Linked DNA regions of Tamandua tetradactyla. The protein of the gene in region 1 interacts with the protein of each later gene in a biochemical or structural test. Links are inferred from orthologs where the notes say so. Each region holds a gene or a part of one and is shown on either strand. Other genes may lie near its edges.

Evidence for each region.
Region 2: the proteins of CBX5 (region 1) and LBR form a complex in vitro, tested with the Homo sapiens proteins (2 studies listed by BioGRID, with this or other methods). The link is inferred for Tamandua tetradactyla from reciprocal best matches to the Homo sapiens genes CBX5 and LBR.
Region 3: the proteins of CBX5 (region 1) and SMARCA4 form a complex in vitro, tested with the Homo sapiens proteins (2 studies listed by BioGRID). The link is inferred for Tamandua tetradactyla from reciprocal best matches to the Homo sapiens genes CBX5 and SMARCA4.
Region 4: the proteins of CBX5 (region 1) and TRIM28 form a complex in vitro, tested with the Homo sapiens proteins (6 studies listed by BioGRID, with this or other methods). The link is inferred for Tamandua tetradactyla from reciprocal best matches to the Homo sapiens genes CBX5 and TRIM28.

Annotation. Positions count from the first base shown.
Region 1 is NC_135333.1:115,670,111-115,678,075, forward strand, and holds the start of CBX5 (chromobox protein homolog 5), read right to left. Parts: upstream 3,015-7,965; 5' UTR 2,868-3,014; intron 1-2,867. Other genes in the region: HNRNPA1 (heterogeneous nuclear ribonucleoprotein A1), read left to right, coding at 3,668-3,682, 4,215-4,331, 4,614-4,760, 4,874-5,084, 5,166-5,258, 5,341-5,433, 5,668-5,742, 5,917-6,066 and 2 more. UniProt on the Homo sapiens protein: Component of heterochromatin that recognizes and binds histone H3 tails methylated at 'Lys-9' (H3K9me), leading to epigenetic repression. In contrast, it is excluded from chromatin when 'Tyr-41' of histone H3 is phosphorylated (H3Y41ph).
Region 2 is NC_135328.1:135,680,798-135,687,824, reverse strand, and holds the start of LBR (delta(14)-sterol reductase LBR), read right to left. Parts: upstream 3,012-7,027; 5' UTR 2,902-3,011; intron 2,832-2,901; exon of another isoform or gene 2,596-2,831; intron 1-2,595. UniProt on the Homo sapiens protein: Catalyzes the reduction of the C14-unsaturated bond of lanosterol, as part of the metabolic pathway leading to cholesterol biosynthesis.
Region 3 is NC_135337.1:90,868,790-90,876,146, reverse strand, and holds the start of SMARCA4 (SWI/SNF-related matrix-associated actin-dependent regulator of chromatin subfamily A member 4), read left to right. Parts: upstream 1-4,355; 5' UTR 4,356-4,463; intron 4,464-4,529; exon of another isoform or gene 4,530-4,646; intron 4,647-4,945; exon of another isoform or gene 4,946-5,070; intron 5,071-7,357. UniProt on the Homo sapiens protein: ATPase involved in transcriptional activation and repression of select genes by chromatin remodeling (alteration of DNA-nucleosome topology).
Region 4 is NC_135342.1:134,528-142,511, forward strand, and holds the start of TRIM28 (transcription intermediary factor 1-beta), read right to left. Parts: upstream 3,003-7,984; 5' UTR 2,988-3,002; coding exon 2,648-2,987; intron 2,556-2,647; coding exon 2,443-2,555; intron 2,249-2,442; coding exon 2,116-2,248; intron 884-2,115; coding exon 748-883; intron 660-747; coding exon 543-659; intron 462-542; coding exon 347-461; intron 260-346; coding exon 113-259; intron 28-112; coding exon 1-27. UniProt on the Homo sapiens protein: Nuclear corepressor for KRAB domain-containing zinc finger proteins (KRAB-ZFPs).

The DNA.
Region 1 (7,965 bases):
AAAAACACTCACTAATCCTCCTCAGAAGACTTTGTTCCCTGGATACCTTTCCCTCCCTTCAGCACTATTGTCAAGGACTCTCAGAATTTCCAGAACTCTCCCAGACATATAAAAATCCAGTCACTTCAGATGTTCCTTCTTTCTCTTTCCCCAACCATTATCCTGTTCACTATCTAGATAGAAGCTTTCTACTTATTAGCTTTCAGACAGATCAGGGAAAATGTGTTATTTTTCCCTTGTAGTGAATAAACCTTTTAGGTATTGCTTTGTATGCCTTAAAGCTAAGCACAAGTGTTTGAAGAATCCACTCAGAGAGGAATCTACGGACGTGGCACAATTTGGTTATCTATTTTTCATATCAAAGTTTTGGTGGGGGTTTTCCCCCCACCAAAACTGTGGTTCTATACATGGTGATAAGCTGTGAAATCAAATCAGTTCAGTAGAAAAATGGAACTTCATTTTTTACTAAATGTAATAGTATACTATAAATGAGAAATATCAGAGTGCTTTGCCCATGTATTTAGTAGAACTTGTGTACATGGACAGTGTAAAATGTATTTCTTTCTAAGTAAACATATTTCTTTTCTAAAATGTATTAAAAAGTTTTGGAGTCATTGATCAAAAAGATTCTCAGGAAAGAGGCTTAAATCAAGTGAAAACCTAAGAACCATCTATAATTTATGATTATTTTAGGAAGTCCAACAAACACAAAATATAATTAACCAATATGTTTAAAATGTAATAATCGTAAAAACCTGAACGAAATTTTCCTTTTATCCAATGGAACACTGATCAAGACTATCGGAAGAGATTATCCAAGAGCTAATTACTAGGATTTAGTGCTCCATTTACCACCAAAGGCCACTCCCTAAACACTTCAGCCACTTCTTCCCTCCTTTACCTAATTTCAAATTGTTAAAATGTTTTGACAATTCTAGCATCTGCCATATTTTAGAGCACTGATTTTCCACAGGGGAAGATTTTGAGCCCCATCTCCACCCCTCAAGACATCGGACAATGTCTAGAGACATTGTGATTGTTGCAATTTGGGGTAGGGTGAGAAGCTACTGTATTTTAGTGGGTAGAGGCCAGGCATGCTGCTAAACATCCTTCAATGCTCAAGACAGCCCTCTACAGCAAAGAATTACCCAGCTCAAAATGTCTTGTGCTGAGGCTGAATTTGAGATCAAAATAGTATTCCTTTCAAACCTAAACAAACTGGAGACAAATATCCTTAACCTCACTTCAGTTCTTAAAAAGAAAGCAGCTGCATCATTATCATACATACAATTAGGTTTGCGACCATAAAATAAACACCTTGAAGGAAATATAATCAAAAGGCAATGAATTATCTGTTTAATGGATCTTCCTTTCCCCAACAGTCTAAATATCATTCTCCTTAACTTCCTTATACAAATACAAAAATTCTCAAAAAGAACAGCAAAAAGAGGTGTTCAAAAATCTCTAGGGTTGTAAAAAATCTCTAGGGGCACTCCTCAGAAAAAAACTAAGATAAAGGACAGGGTCATGGATAATCCTTATAAAGCACTTAGCATTATGCTTAGCCCTACTAAGTACTCAAAAAAAAGTTACTTATTTTCATACCGAAAAATCACCTTAGTTAAGGGGAAAACAACACTCTTTAGAGGTTGAAAAGGGGTGGTGAGAAGTAGGTGATTATGACTGGAATACCAAAAAAAAAAAAAACCAACTGCATTTATTTTTTATTTTATTTAATTTTGGTAACATATATACAAACAATTTCTCATTTTAACCACTTTCATGTGCACAATTCAAACAATTACATTCACAATATTATGCTACCATTACCATCATATCCATGACATACCTTTATTTTTGTAAATTTAACTTTAAATTCCAAATTATTGTCCCTGCGAAGATTTAAACACTAGGGATAAACACTTAAGTGCCCACGGACCAACCCAACCCGCCCTATCCCACCGTGTTCCAAGAGATAAATAACATACTTTGGTGTCTAGCTTTCCAAAAACTTTTTCCATGGATTTATAAACGTATCTAATTTGTCCGTAAAATATGCATTATTATTTTGTAGATGTATCTCGATGTCTTTCCATAACTGTATACAGAGATGTATCTTATTCGTTTTAGCATTTTGTCAGTCTTCCTAAAGAAGCGAATTCCCAAAGTCAAAAGGCCTCCACGGCTCCCCCCAAAACCTAAAAAGTGGTGGACGATGGGGTGAAAAAAATACCAACAAACGTATGGTTTCCCTACCAAGCAAGTGAATGGGATGGAGATCTAAACTAGCATTCATTAGAAAAGACATTGTGGATAAAATACCCACTCTCGCACGCCATCACTAGCATTGATCCCCCTTCCTTGCACCCCCAAATCTCAGCCCTCCCTCTCTTGGTACGCTGATTGGACCACCAGCCCGAGCGCTTTCCTTAGGCTGTCTGCCTACTGGTTCCAGATCTGGTCCATCCATGTAGCCGCCCGACTCCCACATTCCCCATTGGAGTCGAACGGCTGCCTCTTGCAGAAGCCCAACCTACCGCGCGCTTCCTACTCATTGGCTCAGTGAAACGCTGCTCAGGAGGCGAAAACCCGTCTCCCACATTCCGATGGCCCAAAGACCGATCAGTCAGTAGGTAAAGGGAGAGCCAATAGGTCTATATACCCGCCAGTCAAACTCTTCAGCTGCCCAACTCTAAAACCCTACAGGGCTAAAACATCCCGCCCCCTGATCTTCTATTGGTTAGCTGGGCCCACCGCTCCCCCTTCCCTAACCCCCACCCCGCGATCCATTCATTTCACACAATAACGGGCCCAACTGGAGTCGGTTCAAGACCTCGTATGGCTAGACTAGATTGTCTGCCACTTACCCGGGATGTAGAGCGATCACTCACGCTAACGTCTTCTCTATCCCTCTGTGGTGAGGTCCGACTACTGGCCACAGCTGCCGCCGCCTTCTGCGCAACGCCAACCGCCCGCCAAAACGGATCCTTTCCTGCGCCTGCGCGACCAATCCTGGGACCGGACCCTTTCTCCGCCCATTGCGCCTGCGCAAAAAGGGGCAAAAAAACTCCCGCCATTACGCAGGCGCTCTAGGGTCAACGCCCTCTCCCGTCCGCCATTTCGCGTGTTCCAAGCGGCAGCCGGAACTTCTTAATGCGCCTGCGTAAACTCGCCATTTTCTTACACATGCGCTTTGAAGGGGGTTGGTGCAAAAAAAAAGGTACATGTTAACTACCTGTCTTAATACAGTATGAAGCGTGATTTTCCAAGTCAATCGAATGTAATAACTGGGGTGTTAATAATTAAAAAGCATTTTAAACAGTCTATGTACGTTCAAATATGAATGACTGGTAGGCTAGCCAATCAGACAGGTTAAGAATAATATTACTCAGGAACCAATGGATTCTAAGGGGAGGAGCTGCGTAGAACGCCCAAACGGATGACGTTGCATAGCAATGCGGCAAGACAGGCCAATCGTAGAAAGAAGTAATTTCAGATATCCAATCATAGCTAAGAGGGGGCGGAACCCACCAATGCTGAAAGTGAGGAGGCGGGATAAAAGGGAGAGGCAGAAGGTAGGTTGGCATATAGTTTCGTTAGCTTACTCCTTTCTGCTCTTGGACGCCGCTGGGGAAGCATCGTTGAAGTCATTCCTCTCACTGCCGTCATGTCCAAGTCAGAGGTAAATTCTCTTTTCAACTTCACTGTCTCTATCGACCTTTCCTAAGTTCTTTAGGATTCGGCTTCGTTTCGGTGCTTGCAGCAGCCCATCCAACGATTCCTTCCGTAGCTGCCAGGGCCTACCCCTCCCAAAGTTCGGGTCGCCATTTTGTCCTCGTCGTCGCCATGAGGCCGGTTTCCGGCAACCATTACTTATTACAACGGGCTCATGCTAACGCCTGGTAAAATACTTAGATCTGTCCAATCTTTTTGGTTTTGTTTAAGCTTGTCTCGGCGTTCTAATTTCTTGACAATTTTTCGTCCCTTACTGGCGACGCACCCCTCCCGCCCCCTGCTTTTGTTGCGCGTGCGTCGGGAGGAGAATAGGGACGCATGCGCTTATGGCCTTCCATCCGCAACAAGCCGTCCCTGAGAGGGAAAAGCACATGGTTTGTCGCGGCTTGAAAGAACAATAAGTGCAATGTATGCTAGCGGCTAATTTTGCCCCTCCTGTCTGTAAGATTTCCACTTGATACTTATCCACTCACTCCTAGTCTCCTAAAGAGCCTGAACAGCTGCGGAAGCTCTTCATCGGAGGGTTAAGCTTTGAAACAACCGATGAAAGTCTGAGGAGCCATTTTGAGCAATGGGGAACGCTCACGGACTGTGTGGTAAGACTTGGAAGGGGTAAAAAGGGTAGTAAAACCTGGTAGATGTCCTAGGGCTACACTGTTAATTTGAATGCCTATGAAGTTAATAGGATTAGTGTTTTTAAATAGATTGGTCAAGGAAGGTGTGGCTTTTTGTTAATGACTTAATTAAGGTCTCTTTTTAAAAATCTAGGGTGGTGGGAAACGAGAGTTTTATGGTCTCCCTACTATAAACTTGCCTGTTAAACGTAATCAACGTTTGACAGTTTCTGGGAACTTTAAGTCAATTAAAACCTTTCTCAGGTAATGAGAGATCCAAACACCAAACGCTCCCGAGGCTTTGGGTTTGTCACCTACGCCACTGTGGAGGAGGTGGATGCAGCCATGAATGCAAGGCCACATAAAGTGGATGGAAGAGTTGTGGAACCAAAGAGGGCTGTCTCAAGAGAAGTAAGTGTGTTTTACTTTCCTTAGTCATTTGGAAATGTGTTATTAGATGTTTCAGATTTGTGAGAGTTGTGGGATTTTTTTTTAAGTAACTGACAAGGTTTTCTTCCGGTTAGGATTCTCAAAGACCAGGTGCCCACTTAACTGTGAAAAAGATCTTTGTTGGTGGCATTAAAGAAGACACTGAAGAACATCACCTAAGAGATTATTTTGAGCAGTATGGGAAAATTGAAGTGATTGAAATCATGACCGACCGAGGCAGTGGCAAGAAGAGAGGCTTTGCTTTTGTAACCTTTGACGACCATGACTCTGTGGATAAGATTGTCAGTAAGTATCAGATGACTGAGACTAAGAGTTCCAAAATCCATGTGTTCCTTAGGGTCACCTTTTTATCTTTTCTGTTTTTAGTTCAGAAATACCATACTGTGAATGGCCATAACTGTGAAGTAAGGAAAGCCCTGTCTAAGCAAGAGATGGCCAGTGCTTCATCCAGCCAAAGAGGTCTGTGTTACTTAATTCAACCTTATTAAGTAATTCTGAGTAATCTCAATTTGTATGGCTTAACGTTTTCTTTCCTTACAAGGTCGAAGTGGTTCTGGAAACTTCGGTGGTGGTCGTGGAGGTGGTTTTGGTGGGAATGACAACTTTGGTCGTGGAGGAAATTTCAGTGGTCGTGGTATGTATGGTTGAAGTTTACTAAGAATAAGCTTGTGATTTAATTAACTCAGATAAGTGGTAGTATGTATCTACTGGCCTTTATTTTCAAAGTTACTAATTTATCCAAATGTAGTGCTTGTTTCTCCTTAACCAAAAGTTTAAAACCCTTTGGCATAGAAATTATAGTTTCTTTTTCAGAATAAGTGGTTCATATACTCAAGCCTAATTGTATTAACATTCTGCTTTCTTCTAGGTGGTTTTGGTGGCAGCCGAGGTGGTGGTGGATATGGTGGCAGTGGGGATGGCTATAATGGCTTTGGTAATGATGGTGAGTTTTAATTTAAGGAATATGTGGGTAACCTGTTTTAGATTAGGATAGTAGAGGCTAACACTAGTGCGGGACAACTTCAGTTGTCACCATAAACTGCATGTTGTGAGTGAGCCTTTGTGCTTACACAGATTTTAATAGTTGAATACTTAGAGAAGAATTGTATTCTTGTAGGTGGTTATGGAGGAGGCGGCCCTGGTTACTCTGGAGGAAGCAGAGGCTATGGAAGTGGTGGACAGGGTTATGGCAACCAGGGCAGTGGCTATGGCGGGAGTGGCAGCTATGACAGCTATAACAACGGAGGCGGCTTTGGCGGTGGTAGTGGTAGGTATCCAGTGATCAAAGTATTTGGTGTGAGGGCTAGACTAGCCTCTTAGTTTATAGCTATATTGGGATTTGATGCTCTTAAAAGGCATTAGATGATCTGCTGCATGGTATGTTTTTAAATGGGCTTGCTGTGCTACCTCCTCCTAGCTTTAAGCTGGGGCCGCCTCACTCACAAATAGATAAGTGGATAGTGATGTCTTCAGCTGGAGTTAGATTAGCTTCCATAGCAGGGTTGTATTTTAACTCTCCTTTGGGAACTTAGGTACTGGTTGAGTAATCCAAGAAAGCTGCTTATAGTGATTCAATGCCACTATAAAAACTCTGAAATCTTTTAGGTTATGGTAATTGGAACTATCTAAAGTACTGGATTGGTCAACTGAATGCCTTACCCAGAGAAGATGAAATAACAAGGATGACCAGAGCTTGGTAGTCGGGCAAATGATAAACCTTGTTTCACTTCAGAACACTAAACAGACAAAGGACTTGTTTTCTTTCCTAGGAAGCAATTTTGGAGGTGGTGGAAACTACAATGATTTTGGCAGTTACAACAATCAGTCTTCAAATTTTGGACCCATGAAGGGAGGAAATTTTGGAGGCAGAAGTTCTGGCCCCTATGGTGGTGGAGGCCAATATTTTGCCAAACCACGAAACCAAGGTATGATACAAACCTGTAGTATTGGAAGAATTAAGTATAGCTGTGCCTAGTATTGATAAGGGATGCCTTGAAGTTTTGTTTTCTTTTGTCTTATCTTTAACACAAGGTAGTATGCATAGGCTTAAAAACTTGCCTTATATATTAAAAGCTCAGATTTTAAGTATACTTGAAATGGAAAATGAACCTGTTTGTGGCTCTCTTACTGCCTCAGGCAAGGGCTATTTTTGTTTTAACAGTGCCTAAATCTTCTTAATAACGCAAGGGCTATTTTTAAGTGGTCAAACTCTTGAATAAGCTTTATTGGACATGTTATCATCCCACATACCCAAGGTTTTATTGACAAAACTTCTAAGACTTAAAAGGAATAAATTTTATTCCCAGGTGGCTATGGTGGTTCCTCCAGCAGCAGTAGCTACGGCAGTGGCAGAAGATTTTAATTCCAGGTAAGTAAGCACTTTTATGTATTGATGTGATTTTATAATCGCTAATGAATCCAGTAACCCTAATGTAGTTGAGCAGTGCAACATAGTTAACATTATAATTGCAGTAAAATTATGGATATTAAGTTAATATTCAGATCAGCAAATTTTGTGGGAAACAAAACTTGCTATTGGATTGTAGCCATGAGTTTTAATATGTTTAGATTAACAACTTTATTCCATATTGTTCAACAGGAAACAAAGCTTAGCAGGAGAGGAGAGCCAGAGAAGTGACAGGGAAGCTACAGGTTACAACAGATTTGTGAACTCAGCCAAGCACAGTGGTGGCAGGGCCTAGCTGCTACAAAGAAGACATGTTTTAGACAATACTCATGTGTATGGGCAAAAAAACACAAGGACTGTATTTGTGACTAATTGTATAACAGGTTATTTTAGTTTCTGTTCTGTGGAAAGTGTAAAGCATTCCAACAAAGGGTTTTAATGTAGATTTTTTTTTTTTGCACCCATGCTGTTGATTGCTAAATGTAATAGTCTGATCATGACGCTGAATAAATGTGTCTTTTTTTAAATGTGCTGTGTAAAGTTAGTCTACTCTGAAGCCATCTTGATAAACTCCCTAACAGTGTGAAGTTAGACTTCCTTCAGGGTGATGCCAGGTTCCATTCAAAATTCATTTACATTTATGATTTTGTGGGCAGAGAAGCTTTTTTGTCTTCAGAAACCTTGGTATAGTTGAACTGACAGTTACTGTGTTGTGACCTGGAGTTCATCAGTAAAAAGGGTCACCCAATCAAACGTACA
Region 2 (7,027 bases), on another chromosome or scaffold:
CTGCTGTGAAGAGGTGACTATAGAATAATAACATTTAAGAAAAACTTTTGAAGACTCTGTGTGGTTAAGAAAGGAGAAAGTTACATTTCCCACCTCCCATTTCCAAGACAGTCTTTTCTGCACTGTTAATCACCTGAGAACAAACTTAACAAGCACAACTTGTTTAGACAGATGGTAGATTTGTACTTGAAAGAAAACACACCTACTTATCTGGCAATTAGAGGATGTCAGTCAATTTACACATTAGGTAAAAGATACTGCATTCTTCCAACACCAAGGAGAAAGCATCACTGGGGTAATAAATGGGGGAGGTGGGGAGGAAGAGGCAGAGCTCTGGGGACTAAACAGACCTGGCTGAGGAGTCACCTGAGAGGCACTTGTGAAGCAGGGGACAGTGGGCACATCAAGCTTTGGGGGAGGGACACAAAAAGGGAAGATGACAACAGCAAGTTTGGCCTATTTCAACATTTAGCTCAGAGCCTTCACATACTGAGAAAGAAGAAGTAAATGTTCCCTCCTCTCTTCTCTTCTTCTCCCTTCTCTTCCCTGAGCCCTCCAAATCAAACCACTGTTATTAGTACTAGTTCTCCTACATTGGCCAACCAGGGTTTAGAAAAGCTAATCTGGAAAAGTATCACATCTTTCTTCATGAAGATGCCTTTCAAGTTTCACACAACTCTTTACAAACTTTTATAGCGGCCCCTTCCGAACTTTAAGGCTACCCACATTTTAGAAACACCCTTGAACAGATTCTGTATCTTTTTAAAATTTTATTTATTGGCATTTTTCTGTTGCACATATCACATACCACATACACAATATCTATGCAATACTGACACAGGTCAATGTCAAAAAGATTTTTCTGTTTACCCAGTTAAAATATTTTGGGCTAAACAAATTAAGACATTTGGTGGATATATGTTAGCTCTCTATGCTTTATTTTAAAAAAAGATTTAAGAGTTGGGGCTATATCTTTCATGTGGTGGTTGAAAAATTAAATTAAAAAAGCAAAAACAAGTAAAAATACAACCAGCACTGTCCTTAGGAAACCATCATCTTATAAACTAATGTTCCAAAAGATGAAGTCACCAACTTATACGCATCTCCACTTTGCACAAGATCCACACACAACTGTCAAGTGTGATAATACAGTGCAATCACATCATATCATCTCCCACAGAAGTAAATTAGTCAGGACAGGACCCAAAAAGCCCTACAGCATTTTCACATGTCATTATGATCTCATCCAAGGGAGTCAAGATATGTAAGAACCTTCCCTTGGAATATTTTAACCAAAGGTGTTTGTAAAGAAAAATTCTGTTTACTGAATACAATCTTCTCATTCCCCACCAGCAATGGAAATATTGGGACCCTCAGGCTTTTCTCTATTAAGCCACATGCTTGCTAACTTCAGGGGCAACTGGCACAGAAATCCTCATACATTTCTGGAACGCTTGCACATTGTGCCTTCTATCTGTTACTACTTAACAACATAACAAAAGTTTCTGTTGCTATTCTCTGCTGATCACAGAGTTACAAGGGTCTCTGGTCATCTGCCTTCCACTTTTCTATATTAGTCTGAATATGGTAGTGGAAGGGAAGTGCAAATGAACCTTTGCCTACCTCCCTTTAACACCTGGGCCGAAGAGAGGTCTACACTAGGCAGAATGCAAACAGGAACCCCAGGCCTTGCCCTGGACCCCTCCTACATTAAGGCCAAAGAAATGCCACCCTCCCTGCATTTCTAAGGCAAGATGCCTTGACTTTCCCTTACAAACACCTGAAGGCAACGTGCAGCGCCTCATTTGCCTCCTACCCAACTCTTTCCCAGACAGCGCTCAACAACAAGACTTAAACTAGACTTGTTTGTTTTCCAGCACCCGGTCTAAATCAGGAAACCTGCTCTCTTCTCTGCGCCCCGATCCTCTCCTTCACAGCAGTTACTACAATTTTGTAGTTACAGGTTTACGCACTAGGCTGTAAGTCTTGGAGGCCTCTGGCCAGACCTCTGTCTGGGTCGCCCGGCCGGGATCCCGGACAAAGCCTCGCGCAGCGGGTCAGCACCGAGGCTGCGCCCGTGGTCGCCACGCGCTGCCCAGCGTTTCTACTGTGCCACTCCTGGCTAGGCCGATCTTTTTTGGTGAAGCGCTAGGAACAAGACCTTCTGATATCAAATGTATAGTAAGTGCCCCTTGCGTTCATTATGAAGAATACATAATAAATAAAGACTTTTAAGTGAAAAACGCAGGATGGAGCCAAAGCAGGAACACGGAAAGCTGCCTATATATCCGTTTTATATGAGTGTACGGAAATACCAGGCAAGAAAAATCTACACATCCAAGTGCGGGGCCCTACCGTTCGCAGAGACCACTAAGGACGGCGACAGCCAGGAGGAATTTTAAGTCTCAACTTCTGCATCCCACTTTTTGTCCCGCAAGCTGGCTCTCCTCGTTTCCCTCCACGACATTGAGGACCCTCCAAACCTCCCCCTTATCTGTCAAAACGGGGCGCCGAAAAGCTGCGGGGACCGGCTCGGCCGGGAGGGGACAAAGGGCCGGGGACCCACAGACCAACCCCCCCGCGACATCATCTTACATCAACGCGGCTCGTCCAAAATGGAGGGAAACGTCCGCGATTTAAAACTGGCAGCTGCATTTCCGCAACAGGTCACCAAGCGGGCGGGGCGGGTCGGGCCTCCGCAGCCTCCGCCCGGACCGACCAGACCGGAAGGGGGAAGTGGGCGAGGTCGCGGCCAGGCCGAGAGCGGGGGTCTCCAGCCCACCCATCAGCGCCAGGACCAGGGAGACCGCCCCGCGGGCCTGCCCCCGCCCCCCTCCAAGGCTGCGCTGCGGAGAGCGGGGTGGGGGCCCACACCACGGGGAGCGGGGCGGGGGCGCTCACCTGCGCGGGGCCCCTCCGAGAGCACGATCGCCTTCGGGAGAATCGCCGAGCAACCCAGCGGCGGTTCCGCGCGCGCGACTCCACCCGGCCGCGCTCTGGCGCTCTGGCGCCCCGCGGCCCCGCGGCCCCGCGGCCCGGGCGCGCGCCGCGCCGCCCCGCCCCGCCCCGCCCCTCTGGCGGGCCGCCCAGGGCTCCCATAGGCCCCACAGGCTTTTGAATCGCCCCCAGCGCAGGCGATTGGCCGCGCGCTGTGGCGTGTCCGTCCCGCCCCGCCCGCGCAGAGGCCGCAGAGTCCCCCGCGGAGCCCTGCTGCGTTAGGCCACCGCCGGTCCCGAGCTTATCGCGGCTCTGCAGCAGACCGAGCGCGGCTCCCCCCCTTTTGCTCCCCGCCCTCGCCGTGGCCTCTGGCGATGAGCAGCGGAGGACTGGGGGGTTCGAGGTGGCTCGGCGAAAGAGGTAATAAAAAGCTATAAAGAAAATTCACACAGTGATCATTAAAGACCCACCATCCAAGCCAGAAGACGCTTCTTGCTGAAGCACGACTAGTACTCTCCTTGGCGGGTTCGGGTTGAGATCCTCCGGAGCAGCAGCGGCCCCGCAGGCCACCCGGATTCTTTGTCCCGGGGATCGATGCGTCTCGGTTGAAGAAAACCTCACCCAGGCCGCAGGCGGGTGGGCGGAGAGCGAAGGATGTCCGTGAGTTCCCTCAGGTGGGCGGCCCTCCACCACCGGTTTTGTGGAGCGGGGAATTGTTTTTAAGGGACGGACCTACCAAGAAATGAGAAAACTACTCGAAACCTATGTGGCATGGAACAGGAAATTCTACCCCTAATTCACCATGCCCTCCATCCTCAAGTCTGGTGTTGGCTGACCCGGAAAATGCTGAATCATATTGTTAACTCCAAATCTGTTATGGATCCTTTTTTCCACCAAGTTATCATAATTGGTTAGTTGATTTCCTTCCTTTGAGGTCGAGAGTTGAAAGCAGTCCATTGAAGTTCCCTATTTTGCAGTGTGGTTTTAATCAAAGTATTTCCTAACTCCTTATTTCTATTTTAGAAGCACTTACGCTTTAAAATTTTTAAAATATAATTTTAAATATAATTTTAAAATTATATAGAGTCCCCTTTTTCACCCAGTTCTAACTACAAAACACCCAAGGTTATTATTTCAAAAACAAACAAACAAAAGCTAATACATTAAGGTTTCTCAGTTCATGAGAGCGTTTCCTGAGGACAAGTTGGGAAAGGACGGTGGAAGACCAGTGGGTATATGGAGTAGGGCGGGAACTACAGAGGGAAGGAAGTGGGGAGGTTGAGGCATACTGAATTCTGTTCATCTTCCTGTTTGCTTAAGAATTTTAACTCAGTAGCTCCCTGAGCGGAGCTAAGACTCTGGAAAAGACCCCAGGGGTAAGTAATGATCCGTGAGCGTTGCCGGTCACCCTGGGCATTTGTTGCTGGCTGCAGGATTGAACCATCTCTTTCAGGAAACAAGTCTAGGTAAAAATTCAAGCGGCATGAAGAAATCAGTTGGAATCACTTGGTAACCTTTTAGAGGAACAAACTTTTATAGGCCAGAAACAGTAGAAAGCCTTCATTCATAAAGTAGTATTACCCCCGAGAGTCATGTGATAAAACTATATTTCTGATGCTGTTTGATCTGAATAGTTTGTTTACCCAGAAATGGAGTTCATGATTTACATGATGAATTATTCATCTTAATAACAATTTTTTCATTTTTATTTGACACCCACATATATATATTTGAACCACTTACTCACCTACCCCCTACACACACACACACAGTTTTCCCTTAATATTTATATCAGGCAGCAAAGGGGCAACTATTTGAATAAATTGATCCCTGTACTCTGCTATCCACACCTAAATGGAGGAACTTAAGGGGTGGGGCATGTATATGTCAACAAGTTGATGAAACAGAAAGAAATGAGGAAGCAGGATCTGGTGTATTAACTCTACCATTTATTAAGTTCTTACTTACAAGAACCCATGTGCTCTAAGTACTTCATGCATTTTAACTTATTCAACTCTCAACAACAGTCACCTAAGAGAAATACTTGATAGGTGAAAATGCTGAGGAGGCACAGTAAGGGTAAATAACCCGAGGGAGTCGGGTTCCAGTGTCTACACCAAACTATAGACTCAAACTGATTAACAAAGTACAGAGCTCTCAGAGGGCCACCCATCAGCATCATCTGGGAGCTTACTAGAAATGCGAATTCTCAGACCCACCTAATGCCTACTAAATCTGAAACTCTAGGGTGGGGCCAGCCTTCTCACCTTTAATAAGCCCTCTGGAATATCCTGTTATCAGCAGGTTCAAATTTGAGAATTCCTGGCAAAGCAAAAGGTGGTGGTTATATTAATGATTTATTTTTCTTTAAAGTTTTTTGTCTGAGGTTTTAAACCACTTAATTGTAATAGAAGGAAATACCCAAAAGCCACTCCAAGTGGCTGAGATTAGGGTCCAGAACTGATGGCCCCACAGAAGAGACTGGCAGAGAGGCAGGGATGGAGAGGTCTCAGAGATGGGCTGAGTGCCAAAGCAGCCTCCCCTTGCCATGTCTGTCAAGGCAAATGGCTGTACCACGAGGTTCATATTTGTCTGCTCTGGCAAAGAGCACTTTGTTTTTTGAAAATTCTTCATATACCAAAATTAATTAATTTCAAAGGAAATTAATTTGGTTGTTATTTTAAGAGAATTAATTAAGAGTAAATAAGGCTTAAACAGGATGAGAACCCTGAGACTCGGAAAGTTGGCTCAAGGCATAATTCAGTAAAGCCATGCTTCAAATCCAGGTCTTTTGGACTCCAAAATGCATGATTTTCCATCATAGGACCCAGAGCAGGCACCAGCCTTAGCAGGAAGGTCAACTGCGTAAGCAATGTCACCTTGATTTACATCCCTTCATGCCACACTATTGAGGAGGTCCAAAAGAGGAGCAGAATTTACTAGATTGTAATGAAAACAGATCTGTGTTCCTTGTGTTCACAGCACTTGGCACATGATAGTTAACTATTTGTGGAATTAATTGGTTGATTTCTTGATTGAGTGATTGATTGATTTAGTAGGGGAGAGAATGAATTGAGACCATTGTAAACTTGACCTGTTACATAGAAGGACGCAGTGAGAAGACAAACCTGGCTGCAGTAGTTTGATGTCCCATAATAAGAAAGATCTATAAGAACAATGTTAAAGTTCTATCATCAAAAAGCCTCTGGGACCAAATATGGAATGTTCATATGTTAAGAATGTTTGTGTTGTATGTTCATTGGTTTTATTAATAAAAACTTAAATAAAAAAAATTTTTAAAAAGCCTCTGGGAGAAATATATAATTTAATTATATCAGAAGATTCTGCTGCCTTATCTGAGTGGCTCAGAGTGCAGCATTTGAGGCCATGTGAATTCTGGTTCCTCTTGGAGCCCTGTTTCTACCAAGTTCTATAAGTTCTGATTTCCTCATCTGTAAAATGAGAATAATCAAGTACTTAACTCTACCAGGTAAGTGTGATAATTAAATACAGTTACACATCTAATGGATTTAGCACAGTGCTTGTCGATCACTTAATAAATGTTAGAAGTACAGCACGTAATAACTCAGCACAATTTTATTTTAAGTTCATTAAATCATTTTTAATCCATTGCAAATAAATTAAAGGATGTTTTCAGTATCATATGTGTCAGTACATTTTAAGACATTTGTTGGTTTTTTTCTAAGTATTTAAATCCTTTGAACCCTCCTGTAGTGCATGTTTAAACATAAAACTGTCTTCAGTCTTTTCATCTACACTATTTTAATTGAAAAAAATATTGTTCTGGTTTGCTAGCTGCCAGAATGCAATATACCAGAAATAGAATGGCTTGTAAAAAGGGGAATTTAATAAGTTGCTAGTTTACAGTTCTAAGGCCAAGAAAATGTCCTAATTACAAGTCTATAGAAATGTCCAATCAAAGGCATCCAACCAGGGAAAGATACCTTGGTTCAAGAAAGCCGATGAAGTTCAGGGTTTCTCTCTCTCTCTCTAGTGAGAAGGCACATGGTGAACACAGTCAGGGCTTCTCTCTCAGCTGGAAGGGCACATGGTGAACATGGGTCATCTG
Region 3 (7,357 bases), on another chromosome or scaffold:
TTTTTTTAATTAATAAAAAAGTTTAAAATAAATAAATAAATAAAATATGAGACTAAAAGAGATATCAATTTAATGATTCAGCATTCATATTTATTTGTTAAGTTCTATCTTCTATGTATAATTCCACCATCACCTTTGATCTTTCCACCCCTCTCTTTGGGATTGTCTGGGCTATTGCAATTCTAAATTTTTTATATAGGAAGGGTTTTTCACTAATATGGGGTAGGGAGATGGAACTGTCTGATGTTCTGGAGCGGCTGGGCTAGGTTTCAGGATTTATCTGGACCAGGGACGCATCTGGAGGTTGTAGGTTTCTGGAAAGTTACTTTACTGCCTAGAACCCTTGTGGAATCTTATATATTGCCCTAGGTATTCTTTAGGATTGACTGGAATGGTCCTGGTTGGGGGTTGGCAGGTTATGACAGGTAGCAAGGTCTACCTGAAGCTTGCATAAGAGCAACCTCCAGAGTAGCCTCTCAACTCTATCTGAACTCTCTCTGCCACTGCCACTTTATTAGTTACACTTCTTCCCCCCCTTTTGGTCAGGATGGAATTGTTGATCCCACGGTGCCAGGTTTGGATTCATCCCTGGGAGTCATCTCCCACGTCACCAGGAAGACTTTCACCCCTGGATATCATGTCCCATGTAGTGGGGAGGGCAATGATTTCACTTGCAGAGTTGGGCTTAGAGAGAGTGAGGCCACATCCGAGCAACAACAGAGGTCCTCCAGAAGTAACTCTGAGGCATGCCTATGGGTAGTCTAAGCTTCTCTGCTACCTACATAAGCTTCACAAGAGTAAGCCTCATGATCAAGGGCATGGCCTATTGATTTGGGTGTCCCTAAAGTTTGACACAGTATCAGGAGATTCCCTGATGGTAAGGTTTAATAGTTCCATGGTATTTTTCCCCTCCCTCAGGGGACTTTGCCAATGCTTTTTGATTATCTCTTTAATATACTCTAGGATGTTTCCAGGCATTACAGTAATCTATACAGGATAAAAGACCGCTTTCTTATTCTGTGCTTCCTGTGTTTCAGTTGTTCAAATGAGCTATGCAGATAGGTTGAATTAGATTATGCACTACCAAAAATTTCAGTTCTAGACCAAATAAATCTTCCTTCCATTGGTTTCAAAGAGTATGTGTGGTTCTAAAATACAGACACTGTCTTCCTTACCCCTATGTTCTGAATTACTTTAGCCCCAACCTGTTTGATGTCATTCTTATCTCTAAATATAGGTTATATATATATGTATAAAACAGTCTCTCAAAACCCAATCCACTTTTATCCTGATGACCCACTCAAACAGTCAGATGTCCGGACATGGATCTGTAAATGGTTTCTTTCTCTGAAGCTTTGTAAGGTACCAAAAGGGTCTGTAGTGCCTGCAGAACAGAAAAACCTGATTGCTTAGCCTCTAGACTGAAAACAGTCCAGCAACCGCAGAAGCCTCGATTTCCTCTCGTTTGTTACCGTACAAAGGCAGTGGATTCCTTTGCCCAAAGCACTCAAATGACAATTCCTGAGATACTGGGGTTTCAGAAAGAAAAAATTTATTGCTAGGCACGAAGCAAGAGATCAGATGGCCCATTGGCCCAAAAACCTGTTACCCCGAACTGCACTCATTCTGATCATTTTACAATGTTAAAAGATGGGCAGGTTTTAGGATAATGAGCACAATGATCCCAGCTGATATAATAAGAGGTGATCTAATTATTAAGCATGCGCAGATCCATTACATGCTTAGTCACAGAACGTATGTAAGAAAATGGCAGTCTTAATATGATGATGGGTGTGGGGTTTTTTTGTTGTTTTTTTGTTTTTTATTTTGGCATGGGCAGGCTCTGGGAATCAAACCCGGGTTCTCTGGCATGGCAGCTGAGAATTCTGCCACTGAGCCACTGTTGCACTGCCCAATGGGTGTGATTTATTAGTATTATAATGAGGTACAGGTGACATAAGTTAAAGTCTAAGGTACTGTGCATGTCAGGTGGGCCTAGGGGGTTAGATCCAGTCTCAGTTTTCAGGAAAACTCTGGACTTGCGGTGGGTTAGTTCTGGGCTGACCCAGGACCCTTCATTAATAAACATTAGGTGATGTCTTTAATAATCGCAAGACTCTAAAGTTGAGAAATTGGATAAATGGGTACAAGTGAGGTGAGTCACAAGGTTTTTACAACCACAGAGGCACAACATAAAGGTTAAACAATCATTACCAGCAATCAAGGCAGCTGGATTACAGTTTAAAGATTTCAGGTATTTCCCTCTATCTACTCCAATATACCAAAAAGCAGTATCCATGTAATGATTTGATAACCATACTCATTCCTTAAATTCTCATTTCTTGGTTACACATTTACTGTGCATTACTCTTAACAACACTAGCTAAGGTAGGGAGAGCTATAGGGGCCTGCTCTCCCAGATTCCCCATCACCAACCTTTGGAGTGGGTGCCACTTCTCCTTCTACCAGGGGGAAGAAACCCAGGTGTATACCGCTTCAGGAAACCTGCCTGACTTCACCAGCTAACAACATGCAGGTGGGTTTTGTTTTTTTAAATTTTTATTGTGAAATAGCTTACAGGAAAGTTGCAAGGATAATTAAAAAACAATGCATAGAACTCTAATGAACCCCCCATTCAGGTTCCCAGATTTACTTTTAGCATCTTGCCACATTTGTTCTACCTTTTTTTGTTTTGTATGCTGCATGGTGGGGTCACATTTCATGCATATGAGTATCCCGTTATTGTAGCACCATTTGTTGAATTTTTTGTTTTGCTTGTTTGTTTTTTGGAAAGTGCATGGATCGGGAATTGAATGTGGGTCTCCCGCATTCCGTCTTTAAATATTTGAGAGTACTGTTGCATATATCACACTCCAAAACTTAACACTTTCAAGTATATTTCCCAAGAACTCTCACTTATGTCATCACCTTAAGTACAGTCATCACGTTCAAGAAATTTAACGCTGATGTTAAGTTTATAGCCCACGTCGGAATTTTTTTCAGTTGCCCCAGTAACGTCCTTTTGAGTATTTTTCTCTTCTGTTCATATTAGTTTCCAGTGCATACTCATGTTTTGCAATTAATTGTCATTGTCTCTTTCTCTTTTTAAATCCTGGAAACATATACAAGGTAAACTGTCCCATCTCAACCACTCCCAAGCGGACGTATTCAGGGGCATTAACCACATTCACAATTTGTGTTAAGGAGGCAGGTTTTAAACCTAGATCATCTGACTCCAGCATGAGATGTCACCTGCTGCTCTACACTGCAAACCAGCCACTTTGGCCTTGGAAAGAGCCCAGGAGCTGATGCAGGTGCGGTCCTCTAACTCATCAGGCAGCCTGTGTCTACTATGTTTCGATACAATTTTCTTAAGTATCTGTCGTGAGGCGAAGGGGTGCGCCACTACTACATGTTGACTCAAACGGGTTTAAACGAGAGAGTCAGGCGATATAGCGGCGTCCAAGAAATAGCTAGGAAGGGAAGAGGAGGCCCTGATTCACACCGAGGAAAGGCGTGAGGGGGTCAAAGCCAGCGGAGACCAGGAAAATAAGCCAGTCCCGGCCTGAGGGAAGCAGGGGAGGGTCGGTACAGGCTATGGGGCGTGACCTTGGGGGGCGCTTGTCCTGCTCGGGAGACCAAACGAGGCAGCTCTGGAGCTACTATTTTACAAACACAGACGGGCCTTACTTGCAGACCCTTCGCTCGGAGCAGGCTCTCTCCCTCCCTGATTTCCTAACTTTACTCAAAGGTCTTCGCCGCGAGGCCACCCCCATCCCAAGCCCTCGACCCTCCGTGAGTCTTCCGAACAGGCTATAGATTCTCCTTGATTTGGCTTATGTCTCTCCCCTGCTAGACCGTCAGCGCCACGACGGCTGGACCTCTGTCCGTCCCGGGCCGCAGGGCAGGGCCCGGTGCAGCCCATGAATACTGGCCGAGCTAATGAATGGCCCCAGAGGAGACGGCCACGGTCAGGGCCTGCCCAGCCTCGCCGCGCGGGCCAGGGATGAAGACGGTTCTCAGCCCCGGCCTGCCTGCGTCCCGCCCTCCCGGCCCACCTCGGGTCTCCACGTCTGAACCCCCAGACCCGACGGCCGCCGCGGACCACACGCCGCCGCCCCCATCCCAACCCATCCCATCCCCCAATCGCCCGCCGCCCCCGCCTCCGTGGCGGCCGCTCCGCGCATGCTCGGCGGCGTCGGGACGCGCGGCGTGCGGAGGAGGAAGACTGCTTGGGCGCAGGCGCAGAGCCAGCCCGGCCCGAGAGGGGCGGTGCGTCCCCTGCGCGTGCTACCCATGGGCCCCGCCCACCAACCGCGGCTCTCGCGCGGGCGCGCACGCGCACGGGGAGCGGAAGGGCGGGGGCGCGCGCACGAGGCTGGCGCGGGCGGCGGAAGCTCAAGCGACCGCCCGTGGTGGGAGGAGGGGAGTCGGCGCGTGAGCGCGCAGCGGGACCGCGGAAGGCGTGTGTGGAGGGGGGGCGGCCGAGGCGGACGGGCGCGCGCGCGAGGCTTCCCCTTGCTCGGTGACGGCGCCGGCGGCGGCCTCTTTGTTTGGTGAAGAGAGGCGAGACGCCCACTCTGCCCCCGGCCCCGCGCGGAGGGGCGGGGGCGGTGCCGGGAAGGCGACGCCGCCGGCGGCTCCCGGTAAGGAACGCGGGGTGCGGGGAGCGGCGCCGCGCGGGGCGGGGGAAGACGGTTTGAATGGAGCCGGGGCGCCGCGGGGGGAGGGGGCCGCTGGCGCCTGGAGCGGGGCCGGAGTACGGCGGCGCCCGAGGGCCAAGAAGCCCTGGCCCGCAGCCGCGCGCGCGGGCCCGGCCATAGCGGAGCGAGGCCGCGGTGGCTGCAGCAGCATCCGCGGGCGGGCGCGGGGGACTCCGGGCCGCGTGGAGACTGCGCGTCCACCCCCCCCGTGCGCGCGCCCGCCGGGGTCGCTGGACAAAGCTCGCCTCCCGCTACCGTCCCGGGGTCCAATCCCCCGTCTTCGCGGCTGCAACAATAGCCAGGCGTCGGGACTTTTCTGGCTACGTTCTAACCTGTCGGACCCCAGTGCGATCCGGGAAGAACCCAGGTGTGCCCGCTGCCGCCGGGACGCGAGCATCAGTAGCCCCCTGTGTAGTCCCAAAGCCGGCCTAAAAATGTATTTAAAAATCACGGCATTCTAGGTGTTCCAGGAAAGGTCAATGACTCCCCCAGTCCCGCGGAGGTAGCGACTTGAAAACGTTTGCCCCGAAGTGGGGGAGTTGGGGTGGCGGCGGCAAGTGCCTGGCAGCTCGGAGGGAAATGTTTGCTGTTGAAAGCATTGTTTTGTTTGGCACCCTTTTTTTCCCCCCTCCCTCCCAATTTATTTTCAACGTTTAGGCTCTTTTTAAATCGTGAACCTTTCCGGGAGTATTTTGGTGTCCGTCTTGATTTTTCTTTTTTTTTTTTTTTGTTTAGAGGGTGGATCCTGCGGGAAAGTAGAAAGTGGCAAGAGCCACTTCCCAAGCGTTTGAAACAAGTTTTCAATGTAAATTGTCAGACTGGATTCCACTGAGTGTGATTCCTGGCGCTGACAGTCGCCTGGCTGTGTGACCTTAGGCAAGTAGCTTGATCTCTCTGAGTCTCTGGTCTTCTCCCTAGTGAAATAGGGATAATATTACAAATGGAGTTGTGGAAGCCTGTAAAATGGTTCGTGGCGGGTGGAAAGCACTGTTTATTGTCATTTGTCTGGTTCAATCCCCTCTTTCATGGTTCAGCAAATAGTGGTTGAGTCCCTACTGGGTACCACATGGTTTGGGGTTGGATGCCCCTCTTTCATGGTGTAGCAAGTATTGGTTGAGTCCCTGCTGGGTGCCAGATGGTTTGGGGTTGGGTGCTTTCAAGACCAGTCTTGTAGAGGAAGCCGACCTTTAAATAGATGTGGGTGGTATGGGAACAAATCACTTTGGCTTATCGTTTAATCATTTAACAGCCTATCTAGAATCTGGGGGAGAGGGGAGAACCAGGGTTTAGGGAGGCTGCATGGAAGAGATGACATTCACACATACTCAGGGAAGATGCTCAGGGCTGGGTTTTGACTGGCAGGGATGCAGCTTTAGGGGCACCTTCCCTGACTGCCTGGTCTGGGTCGTTGCACCTGTCTGCTGCCCATGTTGCTTCCCCGTGTAGCAGTCACCCCGATTTGTAATTACACATCCATCCCACTCCAAGCACTGTTGGAAGGAGCCACGCCTTCCTGGTTCCCAGTGGCAGCCCAGGCTTGGCATGGTGCTGGGACCGGGATGTAAGCAGTGAGTGCTAGTTGCTGGTTTCAGTGTTTTAAGTTTCCAGGCCGGTGTTTGCCAAACTGTGGTCCCTCTGGAATTGAGGGTGTGTGGGCATCTTGGGCTGGTGATTAGTGTGGGGTAGTGGTGAGGAGGGCTCAATCTGGACTCAGACTTCCTGGGTTCACATTCACCCTACAAATTCCCAGCTTGACCTCGAGCAAGGCGCTTAACAGTTGATCCCCCAAATTGTGACCCTGTAAACGGTTGTTGGGGAGGGGGAGTGAATGAGATAGCAGGGGGAGTGCCTGGCACGTAGTAAGCACTCAGTTTGTTAGTCTTTATGTTTACTTCATCTTGTGTGTGTGTGTGTGGTCAGTCATCTGTTTTAGAAACTAAAAACATAGAGTCACTCTACACCCCAGAAGCCCCAGGTTTGCTGTGCTGATTATATAATGTGTGTGTATTTAATTCCTTTAAAATCAGCGCACATGCACTTATAAAGGAATAAATATCCCTCCCTCCGCCTCAGTCATCATTTCGTGTCCATCCTTTCTGGGGATGTTGCTGTTGGAGGTTGTGGGGCAGGGGAGTAGCATCAGCAGAGTCTGCTGTAGGGCTGTGCCGTGGTTCCCAAACTCTTCCTGTTGGTGAAAAGATTGATTTAGGTGAGCACCCTCACAACAGGAATAATTCTTTACAAATTGTTTGCATACACCTGCCCCTCCTTGGGGAGTAACCCTGGCCTACCCCTTAACACCTAGCCGTTTATTATACATGGAGAGAGGGGGAGGGATGAGGTATGTCGAGTGAGTGTCCACTTGAGAAAACATTCTACCAGCGAAGAAGCAGAGGTCCAAGGATATTTCATCACTGGGGGGCTCTGAAGTCAACCACCAGGTTTGAATCCTGGCTTCGCCACTTCTCCTCTCTGTGCCTCTGTGCAGTGGGGAGGGCAGGACGGCAGGTAGTGCAGCCTCACCCATGCTGGCCGTGCTTGGCCTCTGCCCTCAGTGCGACCCTGGCACAGAGGTCACCTCAACCCTAGACAGATGACAAGCAAGCGTGGCGACTCCTGGAGCTTGCGGGAAGGGACCCTACCACAGCTTCCCG
Region 4 (7,984 bases), on another chromosome or scaffold:
GAGGGCGCGGTGCAGCTGGAAGTAGATCTGTGGGCAGGGAGCAGTGTGAGCAGCAGCGTGGTATCTGCCCACCCTGAGCCCACCGAGACTCCCGGCCCACCCGACCCCGCACCAGCTTCTTAGAGAGCAACAGGGCAGTGTTATTGTCACTCTCCAGGGCCCACGAGGCGAAGCGCAGAATGTGTTCCTGGTGTTTCTGGATCTTGGTCATGGTCCAGTGCTGCCGCTCCAGGCGCTCCTGCTGACCCTCAGTCACCTTCTGTGGGGTGGGGGCAGTGGGCAAGGGGTGGGGTCAGCAGGGGAGAGATGGCCCAGGACCCTTCCAGCCCAGAGAGAGAGACAAGACCTGGGCATCGTTAACCAGCACACGGCCCCGCTTGTTCAGCTCCTTCATGATCTGCAGGATGGCCATCTTGACATCCACCTGCACGCGCTTCTGCACGTCAGACACCTGGCGGATCCTGCAGTAGGCAGGTCAGGGCGGGTCAGCCCCAGTGGGCACAAGGCCAGATTCCCCCCACAGCCCCAGCATCCCCACTTACGAGCTGCGAACCTCCTTGGTGCTCTTCTGCAGTGTTGCATGCTTGTCCCCAAGGCGCTTTACCAGTGAGGCCAAGAGTTTGCGCTGGTTCCTCACTGCATCCTCCAGAAACTGATACCTGTAGGGCAAGGGGGAACATGGTGCTAGACACACAACACGGGATAGGCAGCCCACACCACCCTACCCAGGCCAGCCACGGGACTCACTGGTGGTCCTTGTGGGCATTGAGCTGGCAGTCCCGGCAGGTGAGGGTGTCACAGCTCTCACAGAACAGCACGAGTGGCTCGTGCTTGTGCACGTTGCAATAGACAGTGCGCTCGCCATCTCGCGACTTGGCTGGCCCTGCAGGGCGGGCACCATGAGATGGGCCCTCACCTCTGGCCACCCGCACCTCAAGCACCCCACAGAATGCTGCTGGGAGTGCAGGGAGTACCAGCCTGCAACCCCAGCACCCTATGCCCGAGCCTGGCCAGACAGATGTCCTGGCTCTTCCCACTTCTGAGAACACTGACAGTAAGGGTGCTCTCCACTGCTTTCTGCCCAGCTGTGTACTTCGAAACAGCTCCTACCCTCAGGCCTCCTGACAACACCCCCCTCTGAGCTTTCTCCTCCATCCGTGGCACCATCTGCCCAGCAGAGTGTGTTCACCCACTACAGCATCAACACCTATACGGAACAGACCCAAAAACACCCTGCCTATGTTCTGCTATGCACAAGAGCTGTCTGCTGACCTCCCCTTTACAGCTGAGCAAAACAAAGCCACACACCACTTACAACCTGAAAGTCTACAGGGGACCTTTCTTGGCTCCACTCATCTGAGGAGAGAACATGTTAGACCAGCACACTCTGGGACCAAAATAAATCACCTACCCTACTAGAAAGCTGCCCCGGCACATCGACCCTCCTCTGTCCATCTGCAACATCCGATTCTGTGACAGCTCACCTAGCCCAAGGCAGGTGTCACTTGAACAGAAATCAGCAGGCCTCAGTGTCCCAGCTGCTGCCTTCTCCAAGGCATCTACATCTGCCCTAAACCTAAGACCCAATGTGAACTCCTGTTCCTCCCTCTCGGCTACTCAGGCCCACTCCGGGCTGCACGGTAGCTCTGACAGGCCAACTCGTGGGCCAGACACCAAGTCAGGCTCAGGAGCTCCTGAGCCCCTTTCCACCCTAGAGCCACCCAGAAACTGGAAACAGCACCCGTGACTGTAGGCAGAAAACTGCCATCCCACAGCTAGGACATTTTGGGGGCTTCCTGTCACTGACAAACCCTGGGTCAAGAGACCCATGTCCCTAGGCCTCAATTTCCCCAGTGTTTCCTCAAGCCAGCGTACCAGAGAACCCCTAGTCCAGGCAGCCCCTCACATCCTTTGCAAAGGACACTGGCTTTCCCCACCTGTACCTGCCTCCCCTGCCTGGACCCTTCACAACATTCTCTCGCAAGGCTCTCCAATGCTATCTGCTCCCTGTGCACCGAGGCCCCTGTCCGAACCCCCAGAACCCCAACCCTCCTCCTTTCAAGGAGGTTTGCCATTAGGGACTGCTGGCAGTTCATCCTGAGGCACCCCATGTACCGGTGGAGCGCACGGTGTGGTCCTTGGTGTACTTCACCCGCTGGTGCGCCTCCACGCATGTCTCGCACAGCGGCTCAGAGCACTCCACACAGTAGCTGGTGGCCGGCGCGTTGTCCTCACAGCTGGTGCAGCACTGTCGTGCAAAGGTGGGGTCATGGGGGCGGGGCCGCAGATGGCTCCACATCTACATCCCAACAACCCCCACCTGAGAAGGGGCATCCCTTTACCAGGCCAGGTGGCCCGCCGGGAAGCGGTGGGCACCCTCACTGCTGATTCGGGCCGCAAGCCACCCCAGGCCCCTCCGCAAGGCAGGGGGGCAGCACGCACCTGGTTTGCGTCCTGGGAGTCGGTGGCGGCCTTGCTGCCATTATCGCGCATGAAGTAGTTCTCCACAATGTCTTTGGAGAAACACTGCTGCTTGCACACGGGGCAGTCCACCACTGCGAGGCCAGAGAAGAGCAGGAGAGGGTAAGCGCCGGCGGCCGCGGGGCGCTTCGGCCCGGGCCGTCCCCCGCCCCGCCCCCGCACTCACCCGCGCCGTCCCCCGCCGCGCCGCTGTCCCCGGAGCTGTTGGCCGCGGCGGGCGCGGCGGGCCCGAGGCAGGCGTTGCAGGCTGAGTGCAGGCAGGGAAGCAGGCGCGGCTCTCGCTCGGGCCGCAGGCGCTCCCGGCACACACCGCAGTGCTCCAGCAGCTCCAGCGCCTCCCCGCCGCCCGCCGCTGGCGACGACGCCGACGCCGAGGCCGCCGCCGAGGAGGCGGAGGCCGACGCGCGCTTCTCGCCGCCCGCAGAACCCTCGCCCGGGCCCGGGCTGGCCGAGGCCGCCGTGGCCGCTGAGGCCGAGGCCGAGGCCGCCGCCGCCGAGGCCGCCATTCACACGCCGCCGGGGGCGCCCAGGGGGGAGGAGGGGCGCAGGGCCCGCCGCGCAGGCGCAGACGCGATCGCCGCCAACGGCCGCGCCGCCTGGGCCGCCGCAGCCGCCGCGAGGCCGAGCGCCGCCCGGGCCGCCGCCAGCCGCGCGCGGGGCGCCGCCGAGGTCTGGCCGGCCGTCGCCTGCTGCCGCCCGCCGAGCCGCCTCCCAGACGACGCCGCCGCCGCCGCCGCCGCCGCCGTCGAGCTCCCGCCCTGCGCCACGCGAACAACCGCTCGCCCGCGCGCCCGCTCGCAGAAAGAGCCGCGGCCGGGGGGCGGGACAGAAATAACTGGCGCCGACGCCGTTGCGCATGCGCGCTGGTCGTCGCGCGGTCCGGGGGCGGGACTTGAGCCGACCGCGAACCTGTCAGTACGCACGCGCAAGCGCTGGTCCCTCCCACCACCGCCCCGCGGCGCGGCTCGCGCGGTGGGGGCGGGGCCACGGGACGTCCGTCCCGCCGCTCGGGCGGGCGCTCCCCCAGGCCCCAGCCCCACCTGTAGGCCGCGCGGAGGCCGGCGTCTGTACTGCGCACGTGCGAAACCTCTCCAGCCGTGGCGTCACCAATGGCTCCGTGGGGCGGGGCCGAGGGGAGGGGTCGAGGCGAGGGGCGGGGCCAGAGGTGAAGGGTCCCCATCCCTGCGGAAAGGGTGGGTGGAGGCGGGGACCTCGGTCGTTTAAACCTTTTTAATTGTTAAATGTGAGAAATACAGGAAATTGCCCCAAACCCTAGGGGTAACAAAGCAGTCAAACCGTGAAATCCCACCCGACCCCCCCCAAGCGTCCCCTCCCCGTCACCCAGCCAGCCTCCGTCCTGACTTTGATGCTTTGCCATCATCTGCCAGGTGGGCGTCTCGAGCCTCAACAGTGGGCCGGGGGTCCTGTCCGAGGAGGGGGCGGAGGGGTCCTGTTTGAGGAGGGGCAGGGGTCACTCGGCGTGGAGGAAGCTTGCGGGAGGGACCGCCACGGGGCGGGGGGGGTCTCGGCCGCTCTGCAGTGACCGCGGCGCGCACAGGGCCCGGCCTGCCTCAGTGTCCCCGGTGGTGGCGCGGCCTCGAGTCGCGGACACCGCGGCAGACGGGGAGGAGGCTTCCGGGAGGATGGGGGCCGCGGCGGGGGCTGGTCCGCTCCCCGGGGCGCCTGGACTGGGCGTGGCCTCCCCGGCGGGGCTGGGGGAGGGTCGCACGGCTTGGTTCCCGCCCCTGCCTTTGTTCGAGCCCCGGCGCGCGGCCCCTAAACTCCGAGCCCCGCCCCGCCGGGTGGTCGCGGCAACGGCGCCCTGACGCCCCCCGCGGTGGGGTTTCCCCGCTGACCTCGCCCGGCTGAGCCGGGGGCCACCCCACACCCGCAGCTCCTTCCCCGTTAAGGTTCCTGACCGCGGGCCCACCCTTCTCTAGTAGTTGGGGACGAAGATTGGTGGCCGGCCGCGCTGGGCGCAAGCTGTGGGTCCCCTGCCAAAAGTAACATATGTTCTCCGCCGCGTGCTGGGCCCCCGAATCCCAGGAGCTGGGGCAGCCCCGTGTTGGGCCCTGCGGCAAACGCCTGGTCGCGGAGGCAGAAGAACCAGGCTGCTCCAAATAAGTAGGTGATGGTCAAGAGCACAGAGGAGGGCCCCCTAAGGGCAGGACACCCCCACACCCTGAGGGCAGGAGCCCCAAGTGCAAAGGCCCTGAGGCAGGCCGGGCAGCTGGAGGACCTGGGCAGGTGGTGGCTAGGCCCCTGCCACCCTAGGGTCACCTGTGCTCCATTCCAGCCCCTACCCACTCCCTCACTAGATCCTGAGGAGCCCTGGGAGGCGAGGACCTACCAGACGGCCAGAGCTTCCAGACAGGCGAGATGAGCAGAGGTCCATCTGGCCTCCTACTCTCGCATCCCCCACACCCCTGACCTCCCCTTCGCTGCCTCCTGCCCTCCAGACACTACACCCCTTTGCAGACTGGAGGGGGTGAATTGAGGTGCTGAGATGGCTCCGCGTTCTCCCACCCACTGGCCTCTCTCACCCACTGGCCGTTCCTCCCTGACTCCCCACTCCAGCTCAGACTTCTGTCCAGGATTAAGGCTCAGAGCTGTTCAGAGCTGTTGTTTTGTTTTGATAAAAGCCTTATTGAGCTATAATTCATATAATTTTGCCCATGTAAAGGGTACAATTCAGTGGTTTTTAGTGTATTCAGAGTTGTGCAACCATCACTAATTCCAGAACTTGTCCAGTACCCCGAAAACAAACTCCTACGCACTGGCACTCACTCCCATTCTCCCCAACCAATGGCACCACTACTCTACTTCCTGCTTCAATGGGCTAGCTGCTCTTGCAGTGACCCTTTGGGTTTGTGTTCCTTTTTCTCCTTCCTTCATGCTTCCCAGCGCCCTGCTGTCCACGTGTCCTCACGCCAACCCCTTCCCACCAGCCAGCAGCCGGGGCCTCCGCTGGTACCCTGAGCCTCAGGCTGCACGTAGGCACGTCCGTGGGTTTATTACCTGGTGGGGAACTGCAGGGACGGGAGGTCACACCCTGTCCTGGATCTCAGTAGTTGTCACAGCTGCACAGCATTGCAAATGTACTTCACGTCCCTGAGGTGTGTGGACTACAGTGGGAAAGCGGAGCTTGTGTTCTGTGCTCTGCTGCACATGCACATGCAGGGTGAGTCTCCAGCCAGAGTCCTGGGCTCCAGCCCTGTGACCTCTAACTTCGCCTTGCTCCAGCCCCAAGGCCTAGCCTGCTGTGCCCACTTCGGAGCCTGTGACCTGCTGCCCCCTCCACGCAGACCACTCGCCACTCTGTTGGGCCAACTCCTAATGCGGTCCCTGAGCTCTGCGCAGTCTCGGTGGGTGCTATGTACCTGGGGGCCTGGGCCTGTGGGCGCCCAACGCCCGGCCCGCAGGTGTGGAGCCTGCAATGCGGCCAGGCTCTATCACTTTGTTTTTTCAATTTACTTTTCAGTGGGTGTGTGTATGCACACACACAGACACACATCCCATAAAGTTTGACCTTTTAACCATTTTTAAGCAGACAACTCGGTGGCATTACTGACACCCATAGTGTCCTGCAGCCATCCATCCCCAAAACTTTCCCAGCACCCCAAACACAAGCTTGGTGCTTCCTAGGACTGAGCTCCCGGCTCCTCCTCCCCTCAGCCCCTGGTACCCCATCCATTTCTCTCTGTGTGAACGTGTGGACTCAAGATTTTTCACATAAGTGGGGTCATATGCTGCTGTCCTTCTATAGCGCAGCACTTCATCCCCTTTTATGGACAGATAATATCCCATTGTATGAGCGTGCCACGTTTTGTTTGTAGGTTCCAACACTTTTATTTTTACTTTTTTTACTGAGGTAAAATTCACATAACATGAAACTTACCTTTTTAACCATTTGCAGCGTACCATCCAGTGGCATCTGGTACATTCACAGTGTCATGCAGCTGTCACTGCCGTGTGCTCCCACAGCATCCTCATCACCCCAGCAGGAAGCCCAGCACCCGTCACTCCCACTCCCATCGCCTCCCGGCCTGGAAGCCAGCAGGACTCGATGAGCTCTCAGTGGGGTTATCGACACAGAGGAGGGCGGGCACACCCTGCGCAGCCCTGGAGCCCCCCTGGAGCACCACAGATGCACTCTGCCTGCTTGATGCACAGACTTGCTCCTCCAGTACAGCCAGGGCTTCCTGCGTTTGGGGCCGCCCTGAATGTGCTGTCGCAAACACAGCTGCTGGATGGACACTGCCTGCCCTTGGCGGTTCCAAGCTGGGCTTTTCTCTAAGTGTGATGAGTAGACAACAGAAGGTCTTAGCAGACACAGCATGAGAATTCCCATTTCAAAGCCTCCTGGTGGAACATGGTTAGGAAGAGCAGGTATTAGTTTAACAAAGCTGCTGTAATGAATTGCACAGGCCACGCAGCTTAAAGCAACAGAAATGTATTCTCTTATAGCTCCACAGGCCAGAAGTCCTAAATAAGGTTCATTATGTAGAAATCAAGGTTTCATCAGGACTGAACTGCAGGGCATGTGGGAGGCTCTTGAGGAGAATCGGTTCCTGCCTCTTTTAGTGCCAATGGTGGCTGGCACCCCTTGGCTTTTGGCCCCGTCGCTGCAGTCTCCAAGGCCAGCCTCCTTGGAGCTCCCTGTGCCCTGAGGTCCTCCCTTAGGGATACACATGATGGCATCAGAGCCACCTGGTAATCCAGGGTGAGTCCTGTCACAAGATCCTCCTCAGGTAACACTTTAGGTTCTAGGGATTAGGACAGGGATATTTTCCAAGTCCAGTATTCAGCCGACCGACCGAACTTCCCATTTCAAAGGCAGAACAGCTGACCCTGAGAGGGGTGAAGGATGGCCTGGAGCGCCCCAGGCTGGATTCAGAAGTACCTGCACCTCTCCCACCTGCTGCGTTCCGGGGCGGGGCGGGGAGAGGTGAGGACAGAGACCACCGTCTGAGGTTACAGAGAGGGAAGAGGAGGGAAGGTCCTCAGGGTCCAGACTCAGGTTTCTCTCCTTGCTGAGAGCACCAGGAGCCCTGGGAGAAACGGCTGATTCCAGGGCCAGAGCAGTAGCAAGCCCAGGTGAGCCTGGAATACCTTCTTATGTCATGAAGTAAGGAAGTGCCCAAAGAATCGTGGGGATATGTTAGAAGGACCCAGAAACCAAACCTGGCATGACAATAATCAGAAAGGACAATGATTGTCATTGACTTGACACATAGGCATCCGTGAAGGGTTCCCCAAAAAAGAGAAAGCCAGAAAAATAAGCCCATCTGTCACCACTGCGCACAGCTTTTAAGCCAAACTCTCACCCTGAGCACTTAGCATCGGCCCGTCCTCCTGAGAAATGTTGTATTTTCGGGCAGCACATGGCCCGAGTTCTTTCCTGAAGAAGTGTGCCCGCCTGTGCTTGAGCTTAGAATGGAGAAGACAGCATTCCCCGACTCTGTGAACTTTCTGCCAGGGAGGGATAATGCACTGATCCTCA